Linked DNA regions of Rattus norvegicus. The protein of the gene in region 2 purifies or fractionates together with the protein of the main gene of each other region. This does not show direct contact. Links are inferred from orthologs where the notes say so. Each region holds a gene or a part of one and is shown on either strand. Other genes may lie near its edges.

What was found.
Region 1: the proteins of Pa2g4 (region 2) and Npm1 purify together in Homo sapiens (affinity purification with mass spectrometry; 4 studies listed by BioGRID and IntAct, with this or other methods). This does not show direct contact. The link is inferred for Rattus norvegicus from reciprocal best matches to the Homo sapiens genes PA2G4 and NPM1.
Region 3: the proteins of Pa2g4 (region 2) and Ncl purify together in Homo sapiens (affinity purification with mass spectrometry; 3 studies listed by BioGRID and IntAct, with this or other methods). This does not show direct contact. The link is inferred for Rattus norvegicus from reciprocal best matches to the Homo sapiens genes PA2G4 and NCL.

The regions. Positions count from the first base shown.
Region 1 is NC_086028.1:18,245,589-18,249,245, forward strand, and holds the end of Npm1 (nucleophosmin), read right to left. Parts: intron 3,317-3,657; coding exon 3,215-3,316; intron 2,452-3,214; coding exon of another isoform or gene 2,443-2,451; exon of another isoform or gene 2,129-2,442; intron 1,448-2,128; coding exon 1,373-1,447; intron 498-1,372; coding exon 459-497; 3' UTR 151-458; downstream 1-150. UniProt on the Homo sapiens protein: Involved in diverse cellular processes such as ribosome biogenesis, centrosome duplication, protein chaperoning, histone assembly, cell proliferation, and regulation of tumor suppressors p53/TP53 and ARF.
Region 2 is NC_086025.1:1,571,239-1,573,879, forward strand, and holds part of Pa2g4 (proliferation-associated protein 2G4), read right to left. Parts: intron 2,608-2,641; coding exon 2,515-2,607; intron 804-2,514; coding exon 740-803; intron 543-739; coding exon 464-542; intron 1-463. UniProt on the Homo sapiens protein: May play a role in a ERBB3-regulated signal transduction pathway. Seems be involved in growth regulation. Acts a corepressor of the androgen receptor (AR) and is regulated by the ERBB3 ligand neuregulin-1/heregulin (HRG).
Region 3 is NC_086027.1:94,450,010-94,453,178, reverse strand, and holds part of Ncl (nucleolin), read left to right. Parts: intron 1-199; coding exon 200-388; intron 389-489; coding exon 490-576; intron 577-621; exon of another isoform or gene 622-693; intron 694-762; coding exon 763-904; intron 905-1,382; coding exon 1,383-1,507; intron 1,508-2,260; coding exon 2,261-2,384; intron 2,385-2,894; coding exon 2,895-3,049; intron 3,050-3,169. UniProt on the Homo sapiens protein: Nucleolin is the major nucleolar protein of growing eukaryotic cells. It is found associated with intranucleolar chromatin and pre-ribosomal particles. It induces chromatin decondensation by binding to histone H1.

The DNA.
Region 1 (3,657 bases), on a different chromosome or scaffold from region 2:
AAGTGTTAGTCCCCTCAATGTCCACAAGTAAAGACTTACATGGATGGGAATGACTGCTCAGAAATAACTGAGGGGATAGTAGGAATACTTAACTGGGATGAGGGCACCGATGAAGTATGAAACCATTAAATAAGCAAATAGAAACAGTGCTACTTTATTAAAATACTGAGTTTATTTCACATGTATATTTGTCTCCCTACCATTTCCACATCTGACCACCACTACTACTATGTCCTATCATAACATTCCATACATACTTAAAACCAAGTAAAGGGCGGAGTTCCATCCTTGAAAACTAAACAGGCATTTTAGACAACACATTCTTGGCAATTGAACCTGGACAACATTTATCAAACACAGTAGGGAAAGTTCTCACTTTGCATTATAAAAAGGACAGCCAGATAGCAACTATTACAGAAATGAAGACAGAATTATTTCAAACTGTTTAAACCATTTTCTTAAAGAGACTTCCTCCACTGCCAGAGATCTTGAATAGCCTGTAAAAAGGAAAAATGGTAAAGAAATGTTAACTTTATAAAATTAAAGTTAATGTTTTCATCATATAAAGAGAAAATGCAGAATTTTAACTCAAACATAGCCATGAATGAGACTCCTAACTAAATGGCTTAGCCATGACTTTATGGCCAATGCTGCCTCCTGTCTGTGTGGGTCAACCCTATTTAGGGACTCAGAATTTGAGTTTACAGTAAAGTCCAGGCAAGTATTACAAAGCAAAAGAACACAACCTGGAGAAACCCAAAGGGACATAACCTGTTCTTAATGAAGTTTGGATAGACACCTATAGCTCAGACTGATGAAACCCTTTAAATCAACTGTTCATACAGAAGGTCTAACAAAACCCATATTTCCTATTTACAACTAATAGAAAATTTAAATTCACACCCTTGCATGGCCCAAGTGACTCCACCACAATAAACCATACCATTTATCTCACATGCATGAGGCTTTTTAACCTATCCTAGTTTGATTTTACCAATATTGTTCTCCCCCCCTTCACTATCTGGAGAAGACACTACCACTCCCAAGAGAGCAAATATCAGACTGTGTAAAGCAGCCAAATGGAGCAAATAAAAAGCCACAGCCTATTTCCTTAGCCAACACACTACCAAGAGTAAAACTAAGTTCAGTAACCAAGAGATAATTGACCAACTATTTAAAAAGCTGGGGAAAAAATGTGCACTAAAAATTATTTGCTCAGTCTGCCAATTAAATTCTTTCCATGTATTTAAGTACTGTCTGTGGTTAGGAACCTTTTACAAGAAGCCAATAACTTAAGAGTCTAAAAGTAAGAGTCATAATAAATCACAATGAAAATTTTAGATTTGGTCATGTCCACAGAAAATTCAGTTACCTCCTGGTCAGTCATCCGGAAACAATTCTTCACATAATTAATGAACTTGGCTTCCACTTTGGGAAGAGAACCACCCTATTGAGGAAGAAAGCATTAATTATTAAGGACAAGCACAGAAGTGAGACACAATTAGAAAACTTCCAAAGACTTGCATGCCATTACACAAACTATCCCTCAACACTACCATTTGATTAAAAAAAAAAAAAAACAAAACATCGAGGACCAAACCTCAGAAAGAATGGTTTTTCACTGCTTAAAGTCCAATTCCTTCCAAACTGCCAGTTTAAAACTGTATGGTTCTACCAGCATGCAAATACAGCAATTTGGTGCCTATTATAATAAGTTAGTGTCATCACCTACCACCAAAAAACCAAATTAAATCAAAACTGTTTATAAAAGTGTTCCAAAAAGCACACAATCAAAGGGTTCTAAAATGCTACCCTCACTGTTGCACCGACCTGGCATGTTTCCAATTATGAATATAGGCAGTGAATCACAGTATCAGCAATGTCAGTTTTGCCACCAAAACTCTTACAAGCTAGGTACAACTGTAACCAGCATAAAGTTATCACTACAGAGATTTATCCCTATTCTAAATAAAGTCCACTTCTCTATAAATTTTAGGTTTTTTCCATTTTTATGCACTTAGCAAGTCTAAGGCTTCCAAATTCCAGATTCATCTTGAGTACTTAAATTGCCTCCATCACCTAGAAGATAATTCACTACAATTTAAAAATATTGTCACATACATCCTTATTGGTTCATTCAAAAATTTATTTCGAGCAGCTAAGGATACAAAGGTTAAAATTAAAACATGGTCAGAGTTAAGGCATATGCACAAGTGGTATAGAAAAGCAGTCAAGTTTTCTGCATCACACGAGTGAAAAAGAAAAATGCTTTAGGAAAACGATTGCTTCCAGCCTGCAAGGGGGAATGGATGGCCAATCAGGAAAGGGGATTGAGATTAAAATAGAAGACTTCAGTCTGGATTGTTGATGGTACTATATTTGTTTCTCCTTTTCCTCTTTCCCCATCTTTGGGCTTAATTTACCAGTAGTGCCCAGGAATGTTCAATGCGCCTGCAATTAAACCAAGGAGATAGGACCACATTAAAATGGGGGGGAGGGGCATCATTTTAGCAGTGTATGCAAGGGATAAAAAATAAATCAGCAACACCAGGAAACTTAAGTTTACAGTTTAAATAAGAAATATATGTGCTGGCCAAGTGCTAAATTCCAATCCGTTCGTGGTTGCAAAGGAAGAAACTTCTGAAGCCATGTGAGGCCAGGACAGGACTGGGCAATTTCCTTATCATTTCACATGTATACTCAGTATGTTGGAATCATAATGGAGAATCTTTAATTTTCCAATAATCATGTGTATTATTCAATTTTCTACACAAACATGCTTTATATAATAATGTATTAGTTCCAGCCAAATGGCCAAGAAAGAAATTCTACCTAAGACTAGATGAAAGCCTATTAGTAGCCACACATAAATTTCAGGTCATGGACTGAGTGTGCTTTGGTACAGAAGGCACAGAAATAACTCAAATTGTTGTGAAATACTTAAAGGTGATCCTTTTCACCTTAGCTATAATCTCAGGCAGCCAAACACTCGTGTCTTACTTTTCCAGCTGTTTTTAGTTTTACTGAAAACCAAGCGCCCTCTGCTGGTTCTACAGCATAACCCCAGAAAGGACATTGTAAGATTGGAGTGCACCCTTCCAAATTTTGAGTGCACAGGATTATTGTTATAATCTACTTTTTAACCTGAATTCCCATATTAGTACAATTTAAAGTGGGAGAAAGACGAATCTATTTAAAGGTAATTTTTACTCACTTTTTCTATACTTGCTTGCATTTTTGCCTTAATGTCTTCTACAGAGCTAGGTCCTTTGGGTGTTTTGGGAGTTTTTTCCTGTTTTTTGAAGGACTCTTGACCCTGGAAAAGTTTTTAAAATTGTTAGTACAGTTCTTAACAAATAGTAATTACAAGGATTTCTATTATCCTTACAATTCCTTTTATAGATAAAACAGAGAAGTTGCTAATATAAATTGATGCATTGTAGTAATTCTTCCTAGCTAGTCTCAGAGAACCAAGTAGGTCATCCTTTAAAAAAAATCAAGTCACAAGCATCTGTGATGGGATCTGATACCCTCTTAAGACTGTCTGAAGACAGTGACAACAGTGTACTCATATTTAAAAAAGGGGTTGGGAGAGATGCTTCAAAGTTAGGATAGGATAAAATCAAACTTGATAGGCCAACTCCTATAATAATAACT
Region 2 (2,641 bases):
CCAGTCAGGACCACTACACAGTGACACCCACCCGCTCCCCTAGAGGCAAAGACAGTTCAGTAATTCAGGGGACACACTCCTCTTTACAGGACCTGAGTTTGGTTCTCAGCACTAGAACCAGGTGGGTTTGCCATTGCCTTTAACTTCAGCTCGAGGAGCAGGCAGGCACAGATATAATTAAGATCATTTTAAAAAGGGCTGGAGAGATGGCTCAGCGGTTAAGAGCATTGACTGCTCTTCCAGAGGTCCTGAGTTCAATTCCCAGCAACCACATGGTGACTCACAACCATCCATAATGGGATCCGATGTCCCCTTCAGGTGTGTCTGAGGACAGCGACAATGTACTTACATACATGGAATAAATAAAATAAATTAAAAAAAAAAAAACACAACAAAAAACCCAACATCAAACACCTATAGGAACCCATAGTAGTCTGGAGAGGGATGTGGAGTTGGGACTCACTTCTGCTGGTCTGTAGGATTCTGGATAATGGTTTTCTCTCCATCAATCACATGCTGCTTCAACTGGTGTGACAGCATACCTGCAGACAGGACAGAACTTGTGGTGCCGGGATGGGGGGATAGGGCCCCCTGATGGCTTCCAAAACTACCCATGTAAGCAGTTTGATGGCTCAATTATACCGACTATGGAAAACAGGCAGAATCAGGACGGGTCTTAATCCTACAGCACTTATCAGCACTCATCACAGGCAGACCTTTGGCACTGTTATCGTCTCACCTTCTATTGGCGTGCAGTTAAATGAATGAGCGACTTTGTTCCAGGCTTCTGTCACTTGTGTGTTCTACAAGTACAAGCACAAGCACAAGGAGGTGAGGCTATGTCTGCTCTCCAGCCTCTCCTCACAACCAACTTTCTAACATCCCTCACCAATGACTCTCCTTCACCCATCATTGCTACAGACTTATATCCAGGGGAGGGTGGCGCCTTCATTCCTAGCACTGGGGAAGCAGAGGTAGGAGGATCTCTGAGGTTCAAGGCCAGCTTGGTCTATAGAGCGAGTCCTGAACAGCTAGGGCTACAAGGAGGAAAGAAACCTGATCTCAACCCACAAAAACCTGCTTTCATAAGCACGATCCAAATCGACACCTCTTCAAGAACGGAGCAGATCTACACCCCAATCCAGAGGACAGGAAAACAGACTCAAAAAAACTAGCTGATTTGTCCAAAGATAAGCAAGTATTTAGGGGAGAAACCTTGCTGTAACCCCACATTTTCCAATGAGACTGCTAGGAATGTAAGTTCTTCCTGTGGAACCTATAAAGGCCTGCCTTAGATGCCTGGTCAGATGCCTCTCGAGTGCTGGGATATAAGTTTGTTTGTAGAAAAGATGGGGTTGTGTGAGAATCATTGGCCTTGACATTTGGGGAAAAAAAAAATCAAAAAAACAAAAAACAAAAAAAAAAAAAAAAACTTGTGCCAGGCAAAGCAGACATGCCTTTACTCCCAGAACTTGGGCAGCAGAGGCAGGAGGATCCGAGTTCAAGGCCAGCCTGGCATACACAAAATAAGAGCTGTTTCAAGACAAGCACAAGAAAATAAACTTAGTGTTTGTGTGCATGCATTTATCACTAATAGATGTGAGTTCTAAGAGACAGTTCTTATTTTGTATCAGGTAGGTCAGCAGGCAGAGTACGAGGGCCTTTACCCATGGAGACATCTTCCTCTTCATCCAAGCTATGAGTCCCTCTGACACTTTTCCTAGTTTACAGATGAGGATCACATATGGTGATCCAGGGAGGAGGATGGGATCACTAGGGAGGAAGAGATGACTTTTAAATATCGAGCTCATAGACTGTGTCTGATCCAACAGCTATGGACTGACCATGATGCAAACAGCCAATTTAAAAAAAAAAAAATTCAAACGGAAAAATAGGAACTAGCCTAACTTAGTACAGGCTAGGGACTTTTATTTTTCTTCTTTTTTTCAGAGCTGGGGACCGAACCCAGGGCCTTGCGCTTGCGAGGCAAGCACTCTACCACTGAGCTAAATAAATCCCCAACCCCCAGCTAGGGACTTTCTTAATCAGGAGAATGAATACCAACTGAGTGCAGTGTGAGCATTTAGCACACGAGAAAGCACACAAAAAGGAAGAACAAATGCAAAGGCATATACCACCACACCCAGCACTCACACACAACTGTAAAACCTCGTGTTTCAGGGCTGGAGAGATGGCTCAGTGGTTAAGAGCACCGACTGCTCTTCCCGAGGTCCTGAGTTCAAATCCCAGCAACCACATGGTGGCTCACAACCGTATGTAATGGGATCTGATGCCCTCTGGTGTGTCTGAAGACAGCAACAGTGTACTTATATATAATAAAAAATATGGACACACACACACACATCTAAAAATGGCCTTTATGGGTTCCACAAGAAGAAATTACACCCTCTGTGCTGTGCCTTGCATGGATGGCAGGCACTCAGTCAACTGCTGTTTACAGATGCCCACTTCACCTTTCCTGTCAAGCTTTGGCATTACAAGGAAGCACTATACCTGGTTTCCAGGTTTGACCAGTCGTAAAGCAGCTTCGGCACATAAGTGAGCAGCCTTAATGACATCTGCTTTCCGACCTGTTACCTGGGACCCCTGTAAATAAAGAAACATAGCCTGTATTCTGTAA
Region 3 (3,169 bases), on a different chromosome or scaffold from region 2:
TAGGATATTGAGTACTGCATGTACACTCCCTGACCATCATGGTTGGATTAAAAACTCATATTTTATGCTTTTAATTCTTTCCATAACTTAATGGGTTTTTATTTCCTTTTCAAGGTTTTCCTTTTTTAAGTATTTGTAGTGTTTATGTTGTCTGGATTGGTAGCAAATGCATTTGCCTACTGAGCCATCTTTCTTTCAGACTCTGAGGAAGAAGTTATGGAGATCACACCAGCCAAAGGAAAGAAAACTCCTGCAAAAGTTGTTCCTGTGAAAGCCAAGAGTGTGGCCGAGGAGGAGGAAGATGATGAGGATGATGAAGATGAAGAGGAGGATGAAGATGAAGAAGATGAAGAGGACGATGAAGATGAGGATGAGGAAGAAGAGGAAGGTAACCAGATTAACTTATAAAGTATGCTGACTTAAGTAATGCTTATTAATGGAAATGCTAAAAAGTCTGTGTACTCATGAATGACATTTTAAAACATGCAGAACCTGTTAAAGCAGCACCTGGAAAACGGAAGAAGGAGATGACCAAGCAGAAAGAAGCCCCTGAAGCCAAGAAACAGAAAATAGAAGGTAAGCCTGCAAAATTGGGACTTAAAAGGAGATCAGAGTAGCAATAGCACAAGTGATGACTAACAAAGGGACTTAATACTGAAACATCTGGGATTGAAATGCAGTATGCTGATGTGCTTTATAGTTTATGATGAAATTCACTTGTCGTATGCTTAAGTGGACTAAAAAAGCTCATTTTTTGTGCAGGCTCAGAACCAACTACACCTTTCAACCTGTTCATTGGAAACCTTAATCCAAACAAGTCTGTTGCTGAATTAAAAGTTGCCATCAGTGAACTTTTTGCTAAAAATGATCTTGCTGCTGTGGATGTCAGAACTGGTACAAATAGGTATGTTTTTCATTAAATGGTTTGTGTGTATCAGCTAGTATTTTTACCTTCCAGTTGTGTTCTTCCACGCCCTTAAATACTGGGATAGATAAGGCACTACAGTAATAAAGAGGTTAGATAGTAATGAACTAAATCATCAAATTATAGGACCTGCAATTTGAAGTCCTGTGTTTGACTTGGGGGTGTCAAATAGCAATTTTAAGAATTTTACATTTTGGGTAATTTTGCACTTTGGGTCTGCATAGTCACAGCAAATGCTTTTAGCTAAAAGGATTCTCAGTACTTACCAGGGTCCATGCCAGCTACTGCTGTTACAGTATGATGAATGAAGAAACCAAGGACATGGACTCGATTTTATGGGATATAAGAATGATCTGGTTTTATTTTGTTAGTGTTGTACATGCTGCCTGTGTTCGTACCACACGGTACAGGTGTAGATCACCTCATGCCTATAATCTTGTTTTTTACTTTTTTCAAGGAAATTTGGTTATGTTGATTTTGAGTCTGCTGAAGACCTAGAAAAGGCCCTGGAGCTCACTGGTTTAAAAGTGTTTGGCAATGAAATTAAACTAGAAAAACCAAAAGGAAGAGATAGTAAGAAAGGTATGTAAAAGAGTCTGGGTAACTCGGCACTAATGCTTAGGAGATAGTCTTGTCCCCCTTTCTCCCTTAGTTTCATCCTCATTGTGAACCAGTGAAATGATGTGGATCATGTGATGACTGACAGATTTGATTCCTGGGATATGTCAGGGCTGGCAGGATGGTTAGTTGAGTAAAGATGCTAGGTACAAAATTTGATCTCTACAAGCCACATGAAGAAGGGAAGAAACAGCGTGTTTCAGTGTACTAGTGCACATCCAGCACTCAGGAGGCAGAGGCAGGGGGATCTGAGTTTTGAGGCCAAAAAACAAAGCAATTCTAGGACAGCCAGGACTATTAACGCTTTCAAAAACTCCCAAGTTGTCATCTGCCTACATGTGTGTCATGGCATGCTTGAGGCTTACATATCTCTTGAAATGAATTCTTGTTCTCTATTTTAAGTTTGAGAATGTGGACTTTGAAGTGTTTTCTTATTTATACAATGTAATACATACAGTCTAGGGGAAATATATACATGTAAACAAGTAAGAGGTGAGCCTCATCTGAAACTGGACAGAAGTTTGAGTCACCAGGTAGGTAGGTGACTAAGTGCTGACGATTGGACATGGGTCCTCTTTGTGCAAAAGGCTAGTAACCATTGAGCCACCTCTCCATCCCCCTTTTTTTAAAGCACAGATTCTTATCCTTTATAGGAGCTATTTGCTTTATTCTCTTGTGACTTCTAAAATGATGTTCTTAAATCTTGTTTCAATATAGTTCGAGCTGCAAGAACACTTTTAGCCAAAAACCTCTCTTTCAACATCACTGAGGATGAATTAAAAGAAGTGTTTGAAGATGCTGTGGAGATCAGATTAGTCAGCCAGGATGGGAGAAGTAAAGGGTATGTTTTGTTCCTTTGAATGTTAAGTTTTATTAGCAGAATTTGAGTTTGTTGTTATCTTCTCCTACCCTCCCCTTAATAATCTCAAGTAGTTTTCATAACCAGAAAAAAAAAAACAGAATACCTGGTCCTTTGGCCTCCATCTCCCAAGTTCTGAAATTAAAAATGTTCAACTATTGGGTCTTGAAGCTGTGATAAATTTTACAGCTGGCCTCAATCCAAATCGCATCTTTGGCCACCAGTACTATCCTTGCCTATTATATGAGATAAACGTGATTCTAGGCAGTTCAGTCTATTATTGTATCTGCTTTTTCTCCTCCTTACATAGGTGGCCAGCTTCAAGAATGATTTCAGAGGAGCTAATACAGTAAAAGAACAGTAAAAGCTGTTTGGTCATAACCACCTGTTTCAGTCACATGCGACTTAAGTCCTTATATCATAATATGCTTGAGTGACATTTTGTCTAATGTATTAAGTGAATTGTGCGTATAAACTCTTAATCTCTTTTAGGATTGCTTATATTGAATTTAAGTCTGAGGCTGATGCAGAGAAAAACTTGGAAGAAAAGCAGGGGGCAGAAATTGATGGACGGTCTGTTTCACTCTACTACACTGGAGAGAAAGGACAAAGGCAAGAGAGAACTGGAAAGAATAGCACTTGGAGTGGTAAGTTAAGGTTTAATTGTATAGTGGGGGTGGGAATCATTTGCATCTTTGCTTCTATGTTTAGCTAGAATTAATTTACCTTTGTTCATATAGCTCATGCTTAGTCTTCATGAGTGAAAG